Tamandua tetradactyla: one gene and its partners. The protein of the gene in region 1 interacts with the protein of each later gene in a biochemical or structural test. Links are inferred from orthologs where the notes say so. Each region holds a gene or a part of one and is shown in the gene's direction. Other genes may lie near its edges.

Region 1 (7,370 bases):
AGTTCATTTGTTGTGCAGATGTAATTCCATTCCCTCACAGGCATCTTTTTCTTTTGTTCTTGGATCTCTGAAGAATATAAGATGCTGAAATTCTGAGTTTAGGGATTTGGGAGTGGGGGTGGAGGTTCAGAATTTTGTCCCAGAGATACATGATGTTGTTGGAAGGTCTGAAGGACTAGGCCTGAGTCCTAGGGAAAGGGAACTATATTCTAAATGTACGATTGTCTCTCTTCCCTTACACCTCCTTCTCCCCCAATCCGTTTCAGGTGAGCCACTGGTATGAGCTGGTGGTGTTCACAGCAAGCATGGAGATTTATGGCTCTGCTGTGGCAGACAAACTGGACGATAGCAGAAGTATTCTCATGAGGAGATATTACAGACAGGTAGGGGGCTAGAATCTAGGTCTAAGAATGATGTTTGGAAGGCAGGCCAGCATAGAGGAACCTGGGTTTGAGGCGGTTGCCCTGAAATGGGACCTATCGGGGGGCTGTGGGGGAGCATACTGCATAATCATCTTTGTGAAAGTACGTTGCCCATGGACATCACTGGGATTTGGGGAGCAGCCATAGAGGGTGAGTCTCCTTTTGATGCCCAGTTCATCCTGCCTTCCAGCACTGCACTTTGGAGTTGGGCAGTTACATCAAGGACCTCTCTGTGGTTCACAGTGACCTCTCCAGCATTATGATCCTGGATAACTCCCCAGGGGCTTACCGGAGCCATCCAGGTATGAGGGGAAGGTATGAATCTGGCAGGACCAGGGAGTGGTTTTGAGGAGGTGTTCTGATTGCACGGAGCTAGGAGCCTTCAGAGCTGGAACTTGTTGGGGGTTAAGGTGCAAGTTTCTCAGTTTCAAATGAGACATTCTCCCCACCCTCACCCCGTATGTCCACGTCTCACATCAGATTTGTTTTAAGTGGGGCCAAATGGCAGTAAGTTTGACTCGAAGCCTTATTCTAGCATGAGATCTGGGTGATTAAAAATGTAATCTGCCTTGGAGAATGAATCAGGAAGGTTTCACATAGGCCATTGGAGGAGGGGGTAATATGTATTTTTATTAACGGTTCCCCTCAAAAAAAAGTAAAAGAAAAGCAACTCTCTTGAATCCTTTATTTCTTCCAATCTGCATTTTCACCTGCCTTAGACAACGCTATCCCCATCAAGTCCTGGTTCAGTGACCCCAGTGACACAGCCCTTCTCAACCTGCTCCCGATGCTAGATGCCCTCAGGTAAGGAAGTAGATTCTAGATACTTGGGGATGCCATGAGTGTTTAAAAGTTGGCTTTTTTTGTTTGTTTTGTTTTTACTTAATGTCTCTTCCCTTAGGAATTTAGCATTTGAACCCAGGTCTTTTAACTCCAAACTCATCACATGTAACCACTGGGTTTGAGGTAGCAGAACCTCAGTCTCATCATCTGAAAAATGGTGGTAATTTCTGCCCCATGTATCTAATCAAACTGCCTTACATTATTGTTGGAAGGATTTAAATTATAAGACACTCTACCAATGCAAGTTTTTTTTTTTTTTACATGGGCAGGCACCGGGAATCAAACCCGAATCCTCTGGCATGGTAGGCAAGCATTCTTGCCTGCTGAGCCACCGTGGCCTGCCCTCTTTTTTTTTTTTTTTTTTTTATGAAACATTTCCACATACAAACACAAACATTTTTACCATATGATTATTCCATTGTTATAAAATCAAATAATTCACAATATCATCACATAGTTGTATATTCATCATCGTGATCATTTCTTAGAACATTTGCATCAATTCAGAAAAAGAAATAAAAACAAAAAAATTCATACATACCATACCCCTTACCCCTCCCTTTCATTGATCACTAGCATTTCAACCTACTAAATTTATTTTAACATTTGTTCGCCCTATTATTTATTTTTAATTCATATGTTTTACTCGTCTGTTGATAAGGTAGATAAAAGGACCATCAGACACAAGTTTTCACAATCACACTGTCACACTGTGAAAGCTATATCATTGTACAATTATCTTCAAGAAATGTGGCTACTGGAACACAGCTCTACATTTTCAGGCAGCTCCCTCCAGCTTCTCCATTACACCTTAACCTAACAGGTGATATCTGTTTAATGCGTAAGAATAACTTCCAGGATAACCTCTCAACTCTGTTTGGAGTCTCTCAGCCATTGACACTTTGTTTTGTCTCATTTCTCTCTTCCCCATTTTGGTCAAGAAGGTTTTCTCAATCCCTTGATGCTGAGTCCCAGCTCATTCTAGGATTTCTGTACCACATTGCCAGGAAGGTCCACACCCTGGGAGTCATGTCCCACGCAGAGAGGGGGGAGGGCAGTAAGTTTGCTTGGCTGAGAGAGAGAGTCCACATCTGAGCCACAGAAGAGGTTCTCTTGGGAGTGACTCTTAGGCCTAATTTCAAGTAGGCCTAGCCTATCCTTTGCCAGGGTTAAGTTTCATATGAACAAACCCCAAGATTGGGGGCTCAGCCTATTGCTTTGGTTGTTCCCACTGCTTGTGAGAATAACAAGAATTCTCCACTTGGGGAAGCTGAATTTTCCCCCTTTCTCATCATTCCCCCAGGGGAACTTTGCAAATGCTTTTGTATTCACTGTTCAAATCACTCTGGCATTTATTAGGGCATCCCTCTGGAGAAACCTACAAAATCTCATGCCCTACTCAAGGTTTCATGTACTATGGTGATCAGTTAAGCTGTTCACATATGTTGTATTAGGAAATACACTAGTCAAAATATAAATTTTGTGCCAAATAAACATTTTTTGCTGTAGTCTCACACATAAGTTAAAGTTTTAAAATATTCATTACCATCTATTTCTAACACCCTGCAGTATTGACATTCCTTTGTTCTTCCTCATGCAAAAACATTTTTAAATTTGTACATTTAGTCACTATCATTATACACTCTAGGCATTCCTAGATTATACCATCTCAGTCTTTATCATCTGTCTTTCCATGTTGTCATTTGTGCCCCCAGACCTCCTCCATTATTCTCACATTCTGCTTCATTCAGTATTCTAACATTATTGTCCAATGCAAGTTCTTGTTATCCTAGGTTCACTGCTGACGTTCGTTCTGTGCTGAGCCGAAACCTTCACCGACACAGGCTCTGGTGACAGCTGCTCCCCCTCCACCTGAGTTGGGGTGGGGGGGAAAGGGAGGGTGAGCCCTCGGATGCCGTCTGATCCCCTGTCCAATGGTGAGGACTGCCTGGGCAGGATCTGCCCCTCCCACCCCCCTCTGCCCTGGAGCCCTGCTCTTCACTTGGAGTCTGGATGGACCCATGGCCAGACTCTGAAGCAGCCTCACTCTAACTTCGTGTTCACACTCCCTGGAAACCCCAGACTGGACACAAGCCAAGGCCTAGGAGTGCCCAAAGAAACTGTGTGGAAAGGCAGAACTGGCCAAAGTGAGAGACATTTGGTGTTCCGGGAGGCTCAAAGAGAAGCTAAGCCAGCTTTGTTGTGATTTGATTTTTAAAAAACTCTTGTTTTTTAAAACTGATCTAATTCTTCACTCCTTCCTGCTCCAAGAGCTGGGCTGGGCTGGGCTGTGGGTGGGAGACTGGGATTTTGGCCACTGAATTAGCCCCAAACTGTCCTCCTTTCCCTCTCTTTTTCTCTTTTCCTAGATTCCCTCAAACTTCCCTCAAACCTATAACCAGCTCTCTTTTTTCTTCTAAACCATGCATTATAACTTTGAAACCGGAAGCTGCGGTTTGGGGAAAGAAGGAAGGGGACTTTGTTCACATCAACCCAGGGGGAGGAGGCTGCTGTTGGCCCCCGGGGGTAGGGGGAAAATGTGGTGGGGGTGGAATAGTGAAGGTTGACAGGAAATGCTTGGGCGTGAAGGACTTGAGTAATAGGATAGAGTCCTGGTGGGGACTGGGAGATGTTTCTCTCCGGGAACGTGAGCTTCAAAGCAGTAGGCTGTAGAAGTACTAAAGTATGAGAAACCTGGATGCCCGCAAGAGCATACGCCTAGAGTAATGCAGAACTTCGTCAGGGTCACTGGTATGGACAAACTAAGCATAAGCTGAGCGCTTCCTCAAAGAACCTGGTGCCCAGGGATCTCCGCGCTCTCTGGGCCTGACCCACCCTCGCTCCCGGCCCTGGCCCCAGCCGACTCCGCCTCCTAGCACCCTCCTTCCTGCAGCCGGCTCTACTTCCTCGTACCCGCCACGTGACGCTCCGCCCTTCCCCGGGATCACGTGATTTCAATGGTACTATTCCTAAAAGTGTTCCTCCGCGCTGACGTTGTCCCTACATTTTGGACCTCCTCTCCAGTCCCTATTGGTCCACTCATTCTTGGAACCTAAGCGTTCTGTGCGACTCTTCAAACCCGTATTTCATTTCTGCCATCCTGTTTCTGGAGACGACTTCCTCCACTTGGGTACTACTTTGTTTTGGTGTCAACGGCCGCCTTCAGCGGAACCCGTTTCGTGAATAGCTGTCCTTGTACAAATTACCTCTGCTCCTTGACGTTATTTCCGAAAGGAACTTTTGAAGACTCAAATCTCCAATTATGACTACCATTTCCTACCTCTTTTCATGCTCAGCTTCGTGGAGGAATGTCGGGAAATGGATTTTCAATTATCTCTCACGATACGAAATGCCAACCACCTTGCTACGTTGCCTGCGTGGCCCACAAATTGATCCCAAAGCGATTACGCTACTGGCGTGAGGGGGATGGCGGTCAGTGGGTGGTGCTACGCCAGCGGCGTTAGGCCGCTGCGCTAGTGGCGTACTTTAGCAGGTGGGGCAGCGCGTTATGGGCCGGGGTGGGGTTGGTGAATAGGGAAGTGGCGTAAGATCTGGGGATCGCTCCGCTGAATCCGCCCGCGCGTCGCCGCCGTCGCCACCGCCCCCTATCCCGGCCCCCCCGGGTTTCCTCAGCCCAGCCCGGTCCAGCCCGGTTCCCGGGAGGATGAAGTTCGTGTATAAAGAGGAGCATCCGTTCGAGAAGCGCCGCTCTGAGGGCGAGAAAATCCGAAAGAAATACCCAGACCGGGTCCCGGTGAGGACAGTAGCCTGGGCGGAGGGCGCTGACGCTGACGCCGACGCCAAGCTAGGGCTTGGGTTCGGCACGGGCTACGCAGGGCTCAGGCTGCGAGCTGTGGCGGGGTTGGGGAAGAGCCTTAAACAGCTGTTCCGGGGACTAGGGGTGAAAGGAATGGCGTGGTGCCAGCCCTGGGGCTGAGGGGATATCCCTGGGTGGGGAAAGTAGACCTTGGGATTCGTGTGAGTGGAAGATGGAGGGGGAACTTGACAGTCACCCCTCCAGCTAGCTAGGCTTGCGAGATTGACAGGCTAATAGGCCCAGACAAGTGGTCCCAGTCGGATTAAGATCGTATTTATTTATTATGACGCCCTATTCAGGGATCCGGACATTTAGGTGAGCTGGAGACACGGGGGTCAGGATCTCCGGACCTGGTGCTGCACCGCGTGTGCAGAGACAAAGAAATGAGGCTGGGGGTGGTTTGGGTGCTCTGAATATTGTTGCTTGAGTTTTTGATAGGTAGAACTGCAGAGTTGTTTTGTCCTAATTTTCATCGTCCCTTTTTCAGGTGATAGTAGAGAAGGCTCCCAAAGCTCGGATAGGAGACCTGGACAAAAAGAAATACCTGGTGCCTTCTGATCTCACAGGTGGGAACCTGACCCAGGATCCAGCTTTGCTCCCTGTGGGTGGGAGTGCAACCTCTGTGGGAGGAAGGAGGCTTCACATAGGAGCTGCAAAGCTGAGGGCATTTGTGACCTCTGTGACTTTCTTGCTGTTATATCTTTGGCAGTTGGTCAGTTCTACTTCTTGATCCGGAAGCGAATTCATCTCCGAGCTGAGGATGCCTTGTTTTTCTTTGTCAACAATGTCATTCCACCCACCAGTGCCACGATGGGTCAGCTATACCAGGTATAGGGACTGGAAGACAGTGGAGGCTTTGGAGAGGAGTCTTGGAAGCATTTGAGGGGAAGAAAGTTTTAAGTCCGCAGTTTTTTATGCTAGCTGGCTTGTTTAGCCTGCAATTTTATCTTTGGCCTGAAGACTGAAGGGTAGTCCCAGGTTGAGGGTTTGGAGTAGGCTGTGGGAGTACAAAGAAGGGAAAGAACAGTGAGTTAGAGGTAGTGTTTGATGACTCTCCCCAATCCCCCTTCCCATTTTGAGGCACTAGAGAACAATTTGAGATCTTTTTGCTAGGGATAAAGCTGCTTGGTTGCTAGGTATAGAGCCAGTGAGGGAGAGAGTCAGGTACTGGTTTTTGGGTCTTCAAAAAGAATGGTTCTTGAAGAATGTGGGCTATGGGTGGTTCCAGGAACCTGAAACCCCAATGCCTGAGCAATACCATGTTCTGCTTTCAATCAGGAACACCACGAAGAAGACTTCTTTCTATACATTGCCTACAGCGATGAAAGTGTCTACGGTCTGTGAAGCTGCTGCCCCTAAGGTGGGGTGTCCCATTCTACAGAGAGAGGTGGCCCTCCTTCCTTGACCTACCCCCCCTTCTTCAGGCTCAGACACCGCCTCTCTTCTTCAGGACCTGCACTTCTTAATGTTTGAAGCTTTCTCTCCAGCCCTTGCTAGCAGGAGAGATGGCTCCTAGTACCCCTCCTATTTCTTTTTTCTTCACCTTTCTCAGCCGTTTTTCCCATTCTGCCTCAGACTTCTTGGTTGTCAATCTCTGTCACATCTAGTGACTGTTTTGGTTTCTCTTCCTTTTCTAACTGCCCATGGGGTCCAGAACCCCAACAATCCCTTCTTTTTACTACCTTTTTTTTGGGGGGGGGGTAGATGGAAGGGACTGAAATTGTGGGGGGATGGTAGGAGGCACATCAATAAAGAGGAAACCACCAAGCTGAACTGATTTTTGCCTTGTGTTACCCCCCCCCTCCCTTTAGCCTTTCTCAGGCGTCATGGGCTTCAGTGGTGGGGAGAGAGGAATGGATGCAAATTGTGGGATAGAAATACATTTTGGTTTATCCTTTTGAGATTTTTTCTGCATGAAAAAGAGTGCTTTTGTTATGATGGGTGATGGAATGAGAATGCTTCTCAGTATCATTTTATGAAACTTCAGTTTTATATTCATGTTTATTGGGTACTGATGTAAAAAATAGTGTTTTACTGTGGGTTCCTGTGAAGAAAGTTTGAAAGCACCTGCTTTAGATAACCATATCCAAGTTTGTTACGAACTTCTGGATTAAGGAAGAGTATTTATGTGTGGGCGGGAATAAAAAAAACTGTCCTCAGTTGCCTGTCACTTGGCCAGACTCCGTCTTGACCTGTGGGCTCCAAAGGAGTGGAATCCGAGGGAGGGCGGGAGGAGGGAAGGGATGGAGGGGAAGATGGGGGAAAGGTAGCCATTATCACTAGGAGAA
Region 2 (7,439 bases), on another chromosome or scaffold:
TGCTGGAATGTGATATACCAGAAATGGAACAGCTATTAAAAAAGGGAATTTATAAAGTTGCAAGTTTACAGTTTTAAGGCCATGAAAGTGCCCAAATCAAGGCAAGGCTATAAAGATGTCCAATTGAAGGCATCCAGGGAAAGATATCTTGGTTCAAGAAGACCAACAAAGTTTGGGGTTTCTCTCTCAGCTGGAAAGCACATGGCGATGCCTGCTAACTTTCTCTCCAGGCTCCTCAACGGCTTCCCCAGGGCTCTGTCCGTTCTGTTGGCTCTGTCGGTTCTAGTGGCTCTAAAGCCTTTTCCAAAATGGTTCCCTCTTAAAAGGGTCCAGTAAGCAACCCCACCTTGAATGGGTAGAGATGCATCTCCATGGAGACCATCTAATCAAAGGTTACCACCTACAATTGGGTGGATCACATCTCCTTGGAAACAATCAAAAAGGTCCCACCCAGCAATATTGAATGAGGATTAAAAAGAGTTTGGCTTTTCTGGAGTACACAACAGATTCACACCGGCACAGCTTCTGATAAATAAAAATTCTTTAAAGGACTTCTCTGAAGACAACATGAAAAACAGTCATCTACAACACTGCATAAATCTTGAAAAACCTACAAAGCCACTTCATCCAATAGAGACAACTGTGAACCTTAAACACAGGTAATTTTGGCATTCAGAAAAATTTACCAGTCTGCAAATTTGAGGAATTGGTCATTTGGGTATTTGGCTTTCAGATAATCACTGGTTTCCTTCTCGGAAATGGGAATGCGTGGACTTCCCAGAGGTTGATTATTGATAGTCTTAACAAAGGGTGAAAAAGATGCTGGAGCTGTTCTGGCTGCTAGGCACTCTAAGTGCTATAAAGATACAATGCTGTTAAAATCTACTTTGTTGACATTTGTCATTCTACAATCTCGCAGTTCTCAAAACGTAGGTTGGCTTGGCGTAGGATTCTCACTCTGGGGAGTGTGTGCTCCCCGTAACTGAGCGGCAAGACAAGTGGTGAAGGTAGATTGGCCTGAATTGCAGTAATCTTGAATAAGTGTCACGAGACCTCCTTGCCATGCTGTGTCTGAGGACATTCTCTGCCTTTCTGTGGTTCCTGGTCCTGCAGCTTCCTTGATGCTCCCTGGTCTTAGTGCGCCAGCGGTCTGCTTACCAAAAGCCACCTGTCCTGGGAAGCTTATGCTCTGAGCCCCACCTTAACTCCTTGTTAACAAGGAAGACAAATTTGTGACCTCAGCTATCATCAACTCTGGTCCCCACATCTATTTTTCATGCCCAGACACCATCTGTTACTTTTAAAAAATACTTTTTAGGCACTTCTTAGCCCAGGCCTCGATCTGGGCATTAAGAAACACAGGAGAATAAGACAGAAATGGTTCTAACCCTATGGAGCTACTTCAGGGTTGCAAATAACAGAAGCCAACTTTATGAATGCTTACTTGTGCATTTTATTGTTTTAGTTTGCTAAAGCTGATGAAATGCAATATACCAGAAATGGGTTGGCTTTTACAATGGGGATTTATTAATGTATAAATGTACACTTCTGAGACTGTGAAAATGCCCTAATCAGGGTACCATCAGGAAGATAACTTCTTCCTGAAGAAAAGGCTGCTGGCAACCTGGGTTCTCACATGGGAAGGCGCATGGTGATGTCTGCTGGTCTCTCCCTTCTCTCCAGGTTTTCACTGCTTCCAGCTTCTGGCTTCAGTGATTTCCTCTCCATTTCTGTAATTTCTCTCTGTTTTCCTGTGCATCCTCTTAAGATTCTCTGACTCTTTCCTCTTAGCTTTTTTGAGTCTTTTTTTCTGTGTCGTCTCTGTGTCTTTTATCTTTTTATAAAGGATTCCAGTAAGAGGATCAAGACCCACCTTGAATGAGGTAGTATCACATCTCAATTGAAATAACATAATCTAAAGGTCCCACCTACAATAGGTCTATACCCACAACAATGGATTAAAAGAACATGATCTTTTCTGAGGTACACACAGCTTCTAAGCCATCACATTTATGGACTCGAATGAAGCTCTGAATGACCTAGCCTTGGGCAGGGCTTGAGCCAAGTCAACCACAGAAACCTCAAAAGTAAGAATTTGAGAACATTCCCTCTGTAACGATGCCATTGACCCAAAGGAACTATTGCTATTCTCTATGAGCATTAGTTTAAAAGTCCAAAACTCAGAGTAAAGAACTGTCATCTCCACCTCTGCTCTAATCAACTGTGTGTGTGTGTGGAGGGGGAGCACATGAGAAGGAGGAATCATTACGAGCTGGGCAGAAACTCCAAAAGATGATTATCATAAGAATCTCTACATCCAGCAGGGAAGACTAGCTTATAAAGAACTAACTTCAACCAAGGCTCATACAGGCTTAATAGAGTTAAGTACTCTTGGAGCCTACTTTGATGGGTGTCAGGCATGCCTTCACAGAGGACGTGACATCCAACCGGGTTTTAAAAAAAGCTAAGATGGGCGGTACAATGGTGGCTCAGTGGCAGAATTCTCACCTGCCATGCTGGAGACCTGGGTTTGAGTCCCGTTGCCTGCCCATGCAAAGAAAAAAAAAAAAAAAAAAAAGTCAAAAACAGACAATGAAACGCACCATTTAAAATGTAGAATTCAACAAGTTTAGACAAATATGTACACCCATTTCACTCCCACCCCAATCAAGATACATAAAACATTTCTGTTACCTCAGAAAGTTCCTCATGCCCTTTTGCAGACAATCCCTACCCCTACTGCCCTGGCAATGACTCGATTTGATCAGTATCACTATAGATGAGTTTTGCTGATTTTAGAATCTCATATATTCTCATATGACTTGTCTGTGATATTCTTCTACATTTCAACTGGGTTTTGAAGATTCAGAAAGGGTTCTACAAACACAGGAAGTGTAAGGGCAAATACAGCATGGAGATAAAAAGGAGCAGAGTGTGTTCAGGAAACCAGAATTAGTTTAGTGACTCAAGCATGCAGTCTGAGGGTCAGTGGCAGGAGAGGAGACTGACACAGTGGAAAGAGTTGAAAATGTTAAATTTTACTTGTAAAATCCTCCTGGAAAACAGCAATGGTTAAGAACCTCCCCACTGGCACCCTTTTGTGTTTGGGAAATGGCTTTCTGCAAAGAAACACTCTTCTCCATATGACTTAGATAAAATTCATAGATGCCTCCCTTGTTTATCTATGACAGGGCCAGACACAGACCCTCCAAGTTCCCATTCTTTGTCTTATAAATGATTAGCCAAACTTCCTGTCCCTACTGATCAATGGGAACAAAAGGCCTGTTAATCGAACTTTGGATAAGCTTCTTTTCCTTCCCAGTTCTCAAGCTTTGTTTGACTTACCCTCAGCCTGAACCAGCATACAACCTCTCCTGAGAATATGCTGGCCTCATGGTAAAACGTCTTCTGATCTAGTATTGGGTCAAGCCACCCTTTCTTCCTACTTAGCCACACCAGATTCTTTATAGCCTTGTTTACTTCTCCCTATAAAAGAAAAAACCCTTGAGATGCCTACAGATCTCATGCTCACAGCATTTTCCTTATTGCAGTACTGCCCCTCTTCCTATTGCAGCATTCCCAACACGTGCAACAATCCTTGGAATAAAGTCTCTCCTTACTAAATCTGGATTTATTTTTTCATTTCACCAGAGACAAACAGGCTTCCGTTAGAATCCTCTCCCTTTTTTTTTTTTTTTTTAACTCTTTGACCTTCAGCAAACCACTTTTCCCAGGCTCTGTTCTCTCACATGTAATATGGGAATAATATGACATCATCCGGGGCCAGACCTCTGTGAAGATTAGAAATGTGAAACAGAGGTAATCCAAAAAGAAAAACAATAATAATAAAAAAAAGAGTCGTCATTACTCTTATAAGTCTATAGAGCTGCATGAGGGTTACATTGTGAGCCAGCATTACATGCCAGATTAAGAAATTTATCATATTCACTATTGTATTTTCAACACTTGTCCAATGCTTGGCACTGTACAATGTGCTAAATAAATTTAGAATGAATAACTTAATCCCATTGACATCGTAAGCTACGAAAAGCATGAGTGTTGAGAAGGAGGAGGTTGGTCACTGTCAGTTTTCACTGGCCTTTGCTTATTAAAATTTTCCTCTGCTATCTCTCCACACCTGCCTTCCTAATGATCCGCGTGTTATGTCGGAAGTTCCCTCTCTTGAAAAATGGCAATGATGATTCTTATTCTCTTAAATAAAAAGAGGACGTGGAGCACTTTTTAAAAAGCATGACAGACCATATACATATTTCCACATCTGAAAAGGGAGGGGTCCTGATCGTCCCTCCCCAGGGTCCTCGCCCACTCCCCCCGCCCTATATTCTCCAGAACCCAAGCCCCTTCCACTCAGCTGGACGGTAAGGTCGCATTTCCTCCAGGCTCGCCGGCGCCTGTTTGTGTGCATGCGCACTACTCCTCCTGGTAAGACAGAGGCGGGACTATATTGCGTCATCGGGACGCGCGCTGCGGCGACGCTGCGGTTGCCGGAAGTTGAGTGGCGGTAAGTGAGCGGTTGCTGCCGATGGAGTGGTGGGGGTCCTTCGGGGTCGTGCCGGAGGCCGGTAGAGAAGAGGGGAGCTCGACCGTGGGGGCGGGAGCGCGTCTCAGGCTACTCCTCTCCCGAACTGAGGGGGCCTCCGGGAAGTCACTCCGACTGTCTTCCCTCTTTTTCCAGCTACGTCCCCTCATGCTCTTACAGCCTCGAGACTTCTGATTTGGAAATTCCTGCTGATTGTCTAAGGCACTCCTCCTGTCCTCTGCAGGGAGTGCTCAGAATTTCTGATTTGGGAACAATAGCTAGGAGGACACCTGGGTTTTCGTTGTCTTTGCCTGGATTTGTTGTGTGGCTCTGGCGCGTCCCGCCCGTTTCTGAGATACTCTGATCTGTCAAGTGGGAATACAATACATCATTTGTGCAATGAGGAAGTTAAATTAAGAGAACTCTAGGCGCATTTTTTCTGGTTTGGTGCAGGGTTTGCAAACTCTGATGTTTAACCGGAATCAGGTAAGGTAAATGCAGGCGTAAGAAAATTCCACTGACAGAAGTGTAATCGAACTTTAACACTGTTACTGAAACCAGGCATTTTTGTGACACGTTGGGACTTCTGAGTCCTACCTTCCTTATCCCATAGTATACTTAGATTTCTTATGTGACATCCCTGCCCACGGATTAATTTTCTTCAGTGACAGAAAACTCACTACTTTTGGTTCTCCTGTTTCTTCTTCCCCCAGCTCTCATTAAAAGTCATATATTGAACTGTATGCTATTACTTGGTAATCATCTCATCCCTCCTTCAGTCTCTTTGCCCTTTCAGTTAACTGCCCCTTCCACTTAATTGCCCTGCACTTCTGTCTTCCTCTTCCCACCTTTTCTCCTCTAGGCTAAGTACATTTTATTTATTTACCAGAGTAAGCTCTGCAAGGACAGAAATCTGGGTTTAGTTATTGCTCTATCTCCAGCATTTAGAATAGTGCCTAGCATATTATAGAGGCTCAACAAATAGTTGCTTATGAATACATAAAACAGACATTTGAGAGTTATCAAGAAGGTTTCCCTGAGTAGATTTATATTTGAGCTCGTGAAAAGGCTAGATTTGTGCAGGCTCACATTGCCTGATTGTTTCCCCCCCAACTTTGTTCTTGCAGGTCATCTCACCTACAGCCTGCTGCTCTTGCTGCCTTCCCCTCTGCTTTTCTTGGTCAAGTCCTCCCTGCCACTCATATACATGATTTCGAAACCGTTTTGGGGAGCTGAGTACTGGGCTCTTTATTTGTCAACCTCAAGATCCCTTTTCTGTTTTCAGCCGGTTTCTCCTGATAGAAAATAAGCAAAAATACATGTTGAGCTTCTGCTGTGTACCTGACACTATACCACAGTCTGAAAGTACAAAAATGAGTAAGATATACATCCCTGTCCTCAGGGAGTTTACTTTTTTTTTTTTTCCAACTCAAAGAGATATATTATAGCAATACAGTATGAAGCTATTGTGGAGCTTTGCTAGAGGAAAATTGAGAAGTGCTTGTAAGTCAGTCTGAGACATCAGAGAAGGCTTCTGTGAGGATATGATTTATCCAAGTCCTAAAAAATGAGTAGCAATTAGCCAGTTGAAAAGAGGTGGGATGATATTGTAAATATTGGCAGTGGCATGAGCAAAGGGCTGTAGGTGAGAGTACCTGACTTGCAAGTAGAGTTCTGGAATAAGAGGTAACTGTGAAAAGGTAAATGGGAGCCAGATTACAAGGGACTTGTGAGCAATAGCATATAATGGTCAAGGGCACAGGCTTTGGAATTTAACATACCTGGGTTACACGTAGGGCCATCACCACTAAACTAGTTTTCTCACCTTGGGAAAATCACTTTCTATTTAAGCATCAGTTTCCTCCTCTATAAAAAGGGGAGATGTACTACCTGCTGTGCTGGTTTGAAACTGTTATTTACTCCAGCCATGTTCCTTTTCTTAATCCAATCTTGTGGGCACAGGCCTATTTTTAGCATGGGACCTTGTGATTAGATTGTTTCCATGGAGATATAACCCACCCAGTTGTGGGTGGGACCTTTTGATTAGGTGGTTTCCATGGAGATGCGTCTCCACCCATTCAAGGTGGGTCTTAATCCACTTACTGGAGTCCTTTAAGAGGAAACAATTTAGGAAAAAGCTCAGAGCTTGCAGACAGAGCTGTTTGGAGATACAGAAATAAAAAGACCCCCAGGGAAGTCATTTGAAATTAGAAACCAGGGAAGAAAGCCAGCAGATGTTGCCATGTGCCTTCCCACATGACAGAGAAACCCCAAATGCCATTGGCCTTTTTTTCAGTCAGGTATCTTTTTATGGATGCCTTAGTTTGGACATTTTTATGGCCTTGGAACTGTAAACTTGTAACTTAATAAATCCCCTTTTTAAAAGCCAACCAGTTTCTTGTGTATTTTGCATTTTGGCAGCTTTAGCAAACTAAAACACCTACTTTGCAGGGTTGCTGTAAGAATTGAATGAAATGATACATGTTGCCCGCTTGGTACTGGTAGATAGTAAACACTTGGTAAACAGTTAGAATGACATGCTAAGAACTTCGGTCTTAATTTTTAAAGCTATGAGACTAGGGGTATGTGGAGTGAGGCACTGAAGAATTTTGAACAAAGATGTCTTTTAAAGTACCCAAATGTGGTGATGACCTTTAATGGAGCAAGAAGGGCAGAGTGACCAATTAGAGCACTGTCATGGCAATCCAGATGACAGAAGACAGGCCTGAGAAGACAGTGGCTGTAGGGATGGAGATGGGTGGGTGAATTTGAGAGTTATTTCAGGATTCAATGACAAAAAAGCTATGGTCCTTGTCTTTAAGAAACTAATAAGTTGAGGGTAAGACAAGCAAGGAATTACAGTAAAGCAATTTGGGGGTAAAACAATTACACTACAGTG
Region 3 (7,448 bases), on another chromosome or scaffold:
GCTCTTGAATTGATCTTGGTCTTGCCCTCTGCCAAGTCCCACACAACCCATCCCTACTGCCTGAATCTGTCTCTCGTCCAGACCCAGTTGCTCTCTGAGTTGCCAGATCCTCATGTCCAACTACCTGACATTTCTAAAGATATTCCAAATAAACTAATCTGCCTCTCTACCAAACCATCTACTCCTCCTTGCCCTTATCTTATCTTAGTGAATGGCCAGGAAAAAAGTCTCATGTGTCTTTTCTCTGCCAGGCTCTATTTAATCCACTGTCCAGAGGTATCTCAAAACAGAAACCTGCTCAAAGCCAACTCATGGCTCCTCACTGTCTCAGGACCAAGCGCAAACTTCTCAGCATCATTTGCGAGGAGGACATTTCTGAGTGGTCTCCTGCTCATCCCATCCCAGGCCTCCAGCTCCTTGGAGGCTTGGGGTTTCCTCCAAGGGCCTGGATGACTTCTCTCCTGCCTCCAGGTTATACATACCATATGCTTCCCCCTTCTCTTCACCTGGCTATGTTCTTCAGACTCTTTGTTCCTTGTTTGTACCCTAGTATCTCTAAGGAAATGAACAGTCTTGTTGCTCTTACTGTAAACCCACAATCTGCCCTCAATGGATGTTTCATGCTCACTGGATGAAGAAATAATGAAGAAATGAAACAAAAGTGCAATGAGGCAGAACTAGGACCATTATAAGGAAGAGTCTGCAGATGAGGACCAGAACAGTGACTTGCCTGTGGATTCAGGTACAATTGATAACCGGGCAGGAAGGAACTGGGCTGCGAGCATCTTGCATCTTCGAACACATGAGTATGTGTGTGGACATAATCATGTTTTAGTGTGACCTCAGTTCTTTTTAGTTGACCACTTGAAGCCATCGAAAAGCCTTTTTTTTTTTTGCGGGGGGAGCAGTATTACTATTAGGGAGAGATACCCAAACTGGATATCCCAACTGGTGTAGTTGTTGGTGCTATGGGGTTCATTTCTGGGAAGCATGCCCCTCCTTGAATGCTTGTCCAGCACCGACTATTCCAGTTTGTATATTCCAGTTCTTATAAGCATGGCAGACATTCAACCGAAAACAGAAGCAGTGAGCTGAGTACTGAGCTAAGACTTGGAACCTTGAATGATGTAGGGCACAAGCTTCCTCTTCATTTCCTTTGTTGTTACTATTGCTGTATGATTTTCTTATTTATCTGGGCTAGCAGTGAACAATTTAGGTTTTCTTGGCTCAGCAACAAGCAAATTAGGAGAAATGAGGAATATGGAGTAGAGGATAGGCTAAGAATAGGAGGAGAGAATTGCTTTAATAAAATTATCAGCACAAAATTTTATCTGCAGGGCTGAGAAACAAAACGTCATGTATACACAGCTCTTTCCACTCAAGGAGTTATGGACCTACTGTAGGATTCTAACATGAAACATGTTAAGTCAAAAGCATTAATACTGGTCATTATCCCCTCACTCTAAGACACACCTTGATGTTGTCTGTGCAACTTCCTTGATTGGGAATTCATTATTCATGATTTTTCTGTCCTATTACAAATTTTCTATCTGCTTTGGAAGATGAAGGCAAGTACTCTCTTTATAGGCAGTACTTGTGTATATTTTGGCTTTCTTTACTGGAGCCAGGTTACTTTCCAAACTGTCTGAGATTCAGAGGCTATATTTTGTTCTCTTTTTGTTTCCTTAGACACATTTTCAGTTTCCTTGTTATCTTTGGATATATATCGTCAAATCATCTAGTTCATTAGTGTTCACTCTATTTCCAACATAGAATGATGCAAAAAAACAGAGGAGACTTTTAAAAACTGTGTGGTCAGCCAGGGGATTTTAAGCATTGCATGCTCTTGAAGCTAAGGGACAAGCTCTACTGCAACTACTGATAGTGTTGTTTTGATGTCATCTTAGGCATGGAATAAATTTCTCAAGTATTACAAAGATAATTAGGCAAAGAAAAAACACCCAGTTGCACCCATTTATGTGCCTGTGCCAGGGTATTTAATCTTGTCACACAATTCGTCTGTCAGCAATTATTAAAGGTCAGAGGTGAAAATGACTGATTACAGCAATTAGTCCAGTCTTTTATGCAAAACAGTCCTTGCAGCATTTTCTGCATAGTAATTTTAAGAGAGAGAGAGAGAGAGAAAGAAAAGACTTCACAGTGCATAGTTGTGAGCAGGGAGATTTATCATTAAGCAGAGATAATAAGTATTGCAAACCACACATAGCAACTGGGGCTTAGCTTTTACGTGTCTTGGTTGTCAACAGCCTTTACTTCTTTAATGGATCTGAAGAACGATAATTAGAATGCACGGGTGAGAAGGAGGAGCATAGGAATAGCAAACATGTTTCTGGAATCACATCAACCCTGGTGTGGACAATGGGGACACCTGGCTCCTTGTTGCCTGCACCCATAACTCTCTGCACCGGCTGTGACACAAAGTGCCTAGTGACATATCCAAGAGCATCACAAGTCCGAGGCTGTATCCAGTGCTAAACAAAGGGCAAATTACACAATGAAGCATCGTTTATCTTGCAAAAGCTCTTGCGTCAGGGTCAAATGGGAGCACCAACCCCTGGCAAAAGCACCCAAGCTTCTTTCCATTGGCTTGATGAAAGGGATCCTTCCCAAAGGCGAGGCTGGAATGCCAGAGACCCCACACTCCCTCCTCACTAGTGCAGCATTCAGGGCCCTCAGCAGCTGCAAATATACATAATGAACTGTCCTTTCTTAGGCTGGCCCCTCCACCTGCAGCGCCATGCCTTCCTTATGCTGCTCTCCCAACAGAAATCATTGCCTCCACCCCCTCTTCATTTCCCTTAAAATTCAGGGCAGATGTTATTAATTCTCAAAAGTCTACAATGGATTCCTCCACTCCTTCCCTAATTTGGGCTGCACAAATTTAAGCAAGGACTCTCCTAGCACCTAGAGATGATTTTTTTTGCACATTTATCACTGCTGTATTTGGACTGTGAGTTTCCTGAGAGTGGAAGCCATCACTACAGAGCTTAGCAAAGCATTCCGTATGCAGGTGGCACACAATAAACCTCTGAATGAGTTCTGACAGTATGCTCCCTTGAGGTATAACATACAAGGAGCAAAGGGCACACACCTCAAACACATAGATCAACACATTTTTACACATGTATACACAACCCAGACCAGCACATACAACATTTTCCCAAAGAGCTCCCTGGAGACAAAGGGATTTGGTGGCTCTAGGAATGAGTCCCATGCATGCCAGGAAAGCAGGTTCCCAGAGTGGACTGGAGAGAATATAAGATATCATGATTCATCCTCGGGAAGAACTCTCAGGATTGGGGCGGGGTGTGTGGGGTGGGGTGGGGGTGGGGGAAGTGGGGCAGTAGTATTTCATTCTAGAGAAAAGCAAGAACTGGCATATTAGAGAATAGATCAATGCTGAAAGTTCAAATAGTGAAAACTGAGCATAATTAATAATTGGCCTTCCTTTTCCCCTGGGCTCATTCAGAAGCCCCAAATCCAAAGAGGCCGGGTACTGGTGAGGTCTCAGGAACCCTTTCACCACTGCCTCCTTATCCCAGCTCTGAAGCCTGCTTGTGACACCGAGACCCGACTGACACTCAAGTAACCGCAGTCGAGCCTCGCCAAGCCTGCGGGACGTGTAAAGCGGGACCCCTTGCTTCTCAGCCCCCAGTCCCTTGCACCTCGTACAAACCAACGGGCTTTTTTTGAACCAGCTCGCTATACCCACAAGGAAACAGGCGAGAGAGGAAACGCCTTCCCCCATCGCTGAGGGTTTGCGTTTCCTCCCTTGTAAAATGAGACGGTCAGACCCTCCCTTCACCAACCGCAAATGTTTTGTTTTGTTTTGGTTTGGTTTCCTGCTTTTTCAACCCAACACCTCTAACCACGTTATTCCCAGGGTGCCATAGACCCCTGCCTATGCCTATGCCTGTGCAGACTGTGTACCGCCAGGGCCCGGGGGTTCGGCGGGGGCTGAAATCCACCGCAGGGGGCCCGCGTAACGCCCTGCAAGGTGGCAGGGTGAGCGAGCGGTGGCCCCGACTGGGAAAAAAACAAAAAAAAAGGAGATGTCCAATTGATTTTGCCGGTAGCCCTGGCTCCATTTGAGAGAAGCAACCGCGCAGCGGCATCGCCACCAGTTCACTCCCCCCGCCCCACACCCCTCAACCCCGCAGCTGGGAGGAAAGGGGGGTCATTTCCTTGCGTCTCTGGCGAGGTGGCCGAGCGCCCCGGAACCCCGCCGGCCGCGGCCCCCAGCGCGCAGGGGATGCCAGCCAGCCCGCGGCCCCGCCCCTGCGCGAACTTGGCCGCACCCATCTCCCCCGGGCGGCGCCCCAGCCGCGGCCGGCGCTGACGTCACAAGGCACCCAGCGGCTCGCGGCCCGCGGTGCGCGCCCAGCGCCGGGACCCGCCGCCGCCCGCTCGGCGCCGACACCCAGGCGTGCCCCGCGCGTCCGCGTCCCCGCCCGGCCGCGAAGATGGCGAGCGTGGCGCCCCGGGAGCACGCCGAGGAAGGATGCCCGGCTCCCGCTGCCGAAGAGCAGGCGCAGCGGCCCCCGCCGCCCCCGGCTGCCTTCCAGGAGGAGCGGGAGGCGGCGGCCCCGCAGCAGGAGGAGGCGGCGGCGGGCGCGGGCCGGCAGGTGGAGGAGGCCGCGGGCCGGGTGGCCGCCGCCGCGACCTGGCTGCTCGGGGAGCCCGTGTTGTGGCTGGGCGGCCGCGCCGACGAGCTCCTGAGCTGGAAGAGGCCGCTGCGCAGCCTGCTCGCCTTCGTGGGTGCCAACCTGCTGTTTTGGTGAGAGCCTGGGCTGGGTGGGGGCTCCCGGGGTGTGGAGATGGGGGGCATTTGGGGCGCCCAGGGGTGGCAGAGGGCAGACCGGCCGGCCGGCGTGGGGTGTGCACGCTGCAGAGAGAGCGGTGTCAGCCCTGGCCCACCTTCTCGGCCACCTGTCTCGAGCAGAAAGACCCACACCTCAACTTTCCTCTCAACGCGTTTCCCCGTCTCCGGTCGCACCCCTGTCCACCCGCGCGTGCGTCCAGCCTCGGCGGCCAGGTGGTCCGCTGACTCCTGCGCACCTGTAGCCCCATAGGTGTGGCCACCGTGCTCGGAAACTTCAGTCTTTGCTTTCTAAAACTCTCAAGTCTTGACCTGGTCGGCTCAAGCATGCCAGAGCTAGTGGGCTTGAACTTGGCATTTGTCCCTGCACTCCAGCAGACATAGCTGGACCAACTTAGGTACACGTTCAAGACTCTGCCACCTTCATAAACCACCTGGGATGGGCGCTAAATGGTTTGTTTTCCCTTTCCCTGGAGGGTTTACTGTCTTAACTCCCTGGCAGGAAAACCAGGAGGCAAACAAACAGGTGGATTATGTACCTCACCCCATCCGCCCCGCCCCCCTCGGACTGCGCAGTGTAGAAAATAGCATGAAGGGCAGAGAGAAAACATAGGAATTATTCTCATAAAAGCCCGTGATCAACAGGTTTGGCTCTCCAAAAAGTGCCCTTCACCCAGACGGGCATGGGAAGCATCTGGCTCCTTCGCTGAAGGGCATATGCGCTGTCATCTGTTCTCAGTCTGAACTGAGGGCAGAGAAAAAGCCTTCTTTGTTTGCTCAAGGGTCCTGTAACGAACCTGACCCAGGCAGTGCAGAAGAGGCTGAACCCCGGTATACCTTGTCAGAGGATGTGGATTTCACCTTCCAGTTGGAAAATAAATCAACGCCTGGAACAGAACACACCTGCCATTTTTATTAGGTCAACTTGAAAAACAGGAAGATTTTTCTGGAGAGTCTGTGCTAGTCCTGGTTTTCTCTTTAAAATGAGCTGCATCTTGTCAGGGTCCCTGAATGTAAATGAACTTTTCTTTGTGTTTAGCCATCTGTGTTTTTAGAGTTTACACCCGATTTCTTCATATACCCAGTTATGAAGTTACATGAGTACTCAAAGGAGAGCAATACATGATATTAGGCTGGATTGGGCATTATTCTTAGGGATAGAAAGAACCTTATCATATTATCACAATCATTTTACTAATAAGGGCCGTGGTTTTAAATTTATTTTTCTTGATTTTAAATTTTATTTTTTAAAATAGCTAATACAGACTCAGTTCAAAAGTTTAAAGATACAAAAGGATACATATTTTGAAAATCTCTTTCTCACGCCTGTTCTTGGCTACGCAGTGTTCCAGTGTTACCCAGTCTCTTCTGTATCTTTCCAGGTAGTATTAACTATCCACGTAATATTAACGCATAGTTCAGCAATTACACAGTATTTGCCATAAATTCTGGAATACTACATGGGCTGCCCTCTTCATGGTTTTCTTGGCAATTGCTTCTTTGTTCTTTTTTCAACAGCATAGAATTTAGTTGTAAGGATGTCTCAAATTGTTAAACTGTCCCCAATGATGGGTTGTTTTCAAACTTTTGATATTTCAGTGTTATGGCTAATAACCTTATACACACTTCATTTTTGCATATATGAAAGTATTTCTGTAGAATAAAATCTTAGAAGTGAAATTAGAGGGTATATGTACTTATAATTTTGAAGGATATTAATTTATACTCCCACCTCCAATGGTTGTGACTGCTTATTTTCCTACATCTTTGCTGACAGCATTTGTCAGACTTTGATCTTGCAAATCTGATAGGTGAAACAGGGCATCCCAATGTGGTTTAAATGTGCATTTCTCTGTGAGTTTGAGCATCTTTTCTTATATTCAAAAGCCATTTTAATTATCTTTTCTCCACATTGTTTGTAAATATGTTTTTTAATTGAGCCATTGGTCTTTTTCTTACCAATTGTAAGATTGATTTGTAGGAGCTTTTTCATATTAAAGATTTAGCCTAATTTCTGTGATATGAGCTGCAAGTGTTCTTTCTATGGCCTATTAGTAATATCTACTGAAAATAGTGTTTTTTCATAAGACAATTGAAAGGCATATGTGTTATTTTTCAGGAGTGATGTTTGCCATGTACTGTATTTATAACTCCTATGGAGAATAATTCTGATGGAGAGGCAAACAATGGCCAAGTATTCAGCCTCCTTCTAGCTTTCTGCTTATCTGTTATTTCTTCTCCTGCAGTATCTACATTCCACGCATTTATTTTCCTTAACAGAATGATAACATCCTGCTCTTTGAATTCTGAAATACTTGTTACTGCTTTTGTACTTTGTGCTATAATCCATTGGAATTTCTGACCCATTTATTAACTTTGATTCAATTTTTGGAGTGTTTTTCATTCTCTTTTTGTTGCTTCCAGGGTTAGAACACTTTTCAAGGACGTTCAGTTTTCTTTAAATAGTATGTTTCTTAATCTTTGATCTTATATTATGTGACCCTCTAACATTATGTGTCCCAGGAATTCTGAAGCACTATATTTTCCATGAGAAAACAAAAGATTAATATTTTAAATATGCGGGACCCAAATCTTGTCTTCAGCACTA

Evidence for each region. The genes of interacting proteins can lie anywhere in the genome.
Region 2: the proteins of GABARAP (region 1) and ATG7 form a complex in vitro, tested with the Homo sapiens proteins (2 studies listed by BioGRID and IntAct, with this or other methods). The link is inferred for Tamandua tetradactyla from reciprocal best matches to the Homo sapiens genes GABARAP and ATG7.
Region 3: the proteins of GABARAP (region 1) and RETREG1 are reported together in a solved structure, tested with the Homo sapiens proteins (2 studies listed by BioGRID, with this or other methods). The link is inferred for Tamandua tetradactyla from reciprocal best matches to the Homo sapiens genes GABARAP and RETREG1.

Annotation. Positions count from the first base shown.
Region 1 is NC_135332.1:61,108,959-61,116,328, reverse strand, and holds GABARAP (gamma-aminobutyric acid receptor-associated protein), read left to right. Parts: upstream 1-4,791; 5' UTR 4,792-4,929; coding exon 4,930-5,019; intron 5,020-5,569; coding exon 5,570-5,648; intron 5,649-5,791; coding exon 5,792-5,910; intron 5,911-6,360; coding exon 6,361-6,426; 3' UTR 6,427-6,855; downstream 6,856-7,370. Other genes in the region: CTDNEP1 (CTD nuclear envelope phosphatase 1), read left to right, coding at 267-383, 613-724, 1,142-1,226, 3,059-3,119. UniProt on the Homo sapiens protein: Ubiquitin-like modifier that plays a role in intracellular transport of GABA(A) receptors and its interaction with the cytoskeleton.
Region 2 is NC_135335.1:37,669,269-37,676,707, reverse strand, and holds the start of ATG7 (ubiquitin-like modifier-activating enzyme ATG7), read left to right. Parts: upstream 1-4,430; 5' UTR 4,431-4,522; intron 4,523-4,532; exon of another isoform or gene 4,533-5,026; intron 5,027-5,425; exon of another isoform or gene 5,426-5,917; intron 5,918-7,439. UniProt on the Homo sapiens protein: E1-like activating enzyme involved in the 2 ubiquitin-like systems required for cytoplasm to vacuole transport (Cvt) and autophagy.
Region 3 is NC_135335.1:65,782,345-65,789,792, reverse strand, and holds the start of RETREG1 (reticulophagy regulator 1), read left to right. Parts: upstream 1-4,439; 5' UTR 4,440-4,484; coding exon 4,485-4,798; intron 4,799-7,448. UniProt on the Homo sapiens protein: Endoplasmic reticulum (ER)-anchored autophagy regulator which mediates ER delivery into lysosomes through sequestration into autophagosomes.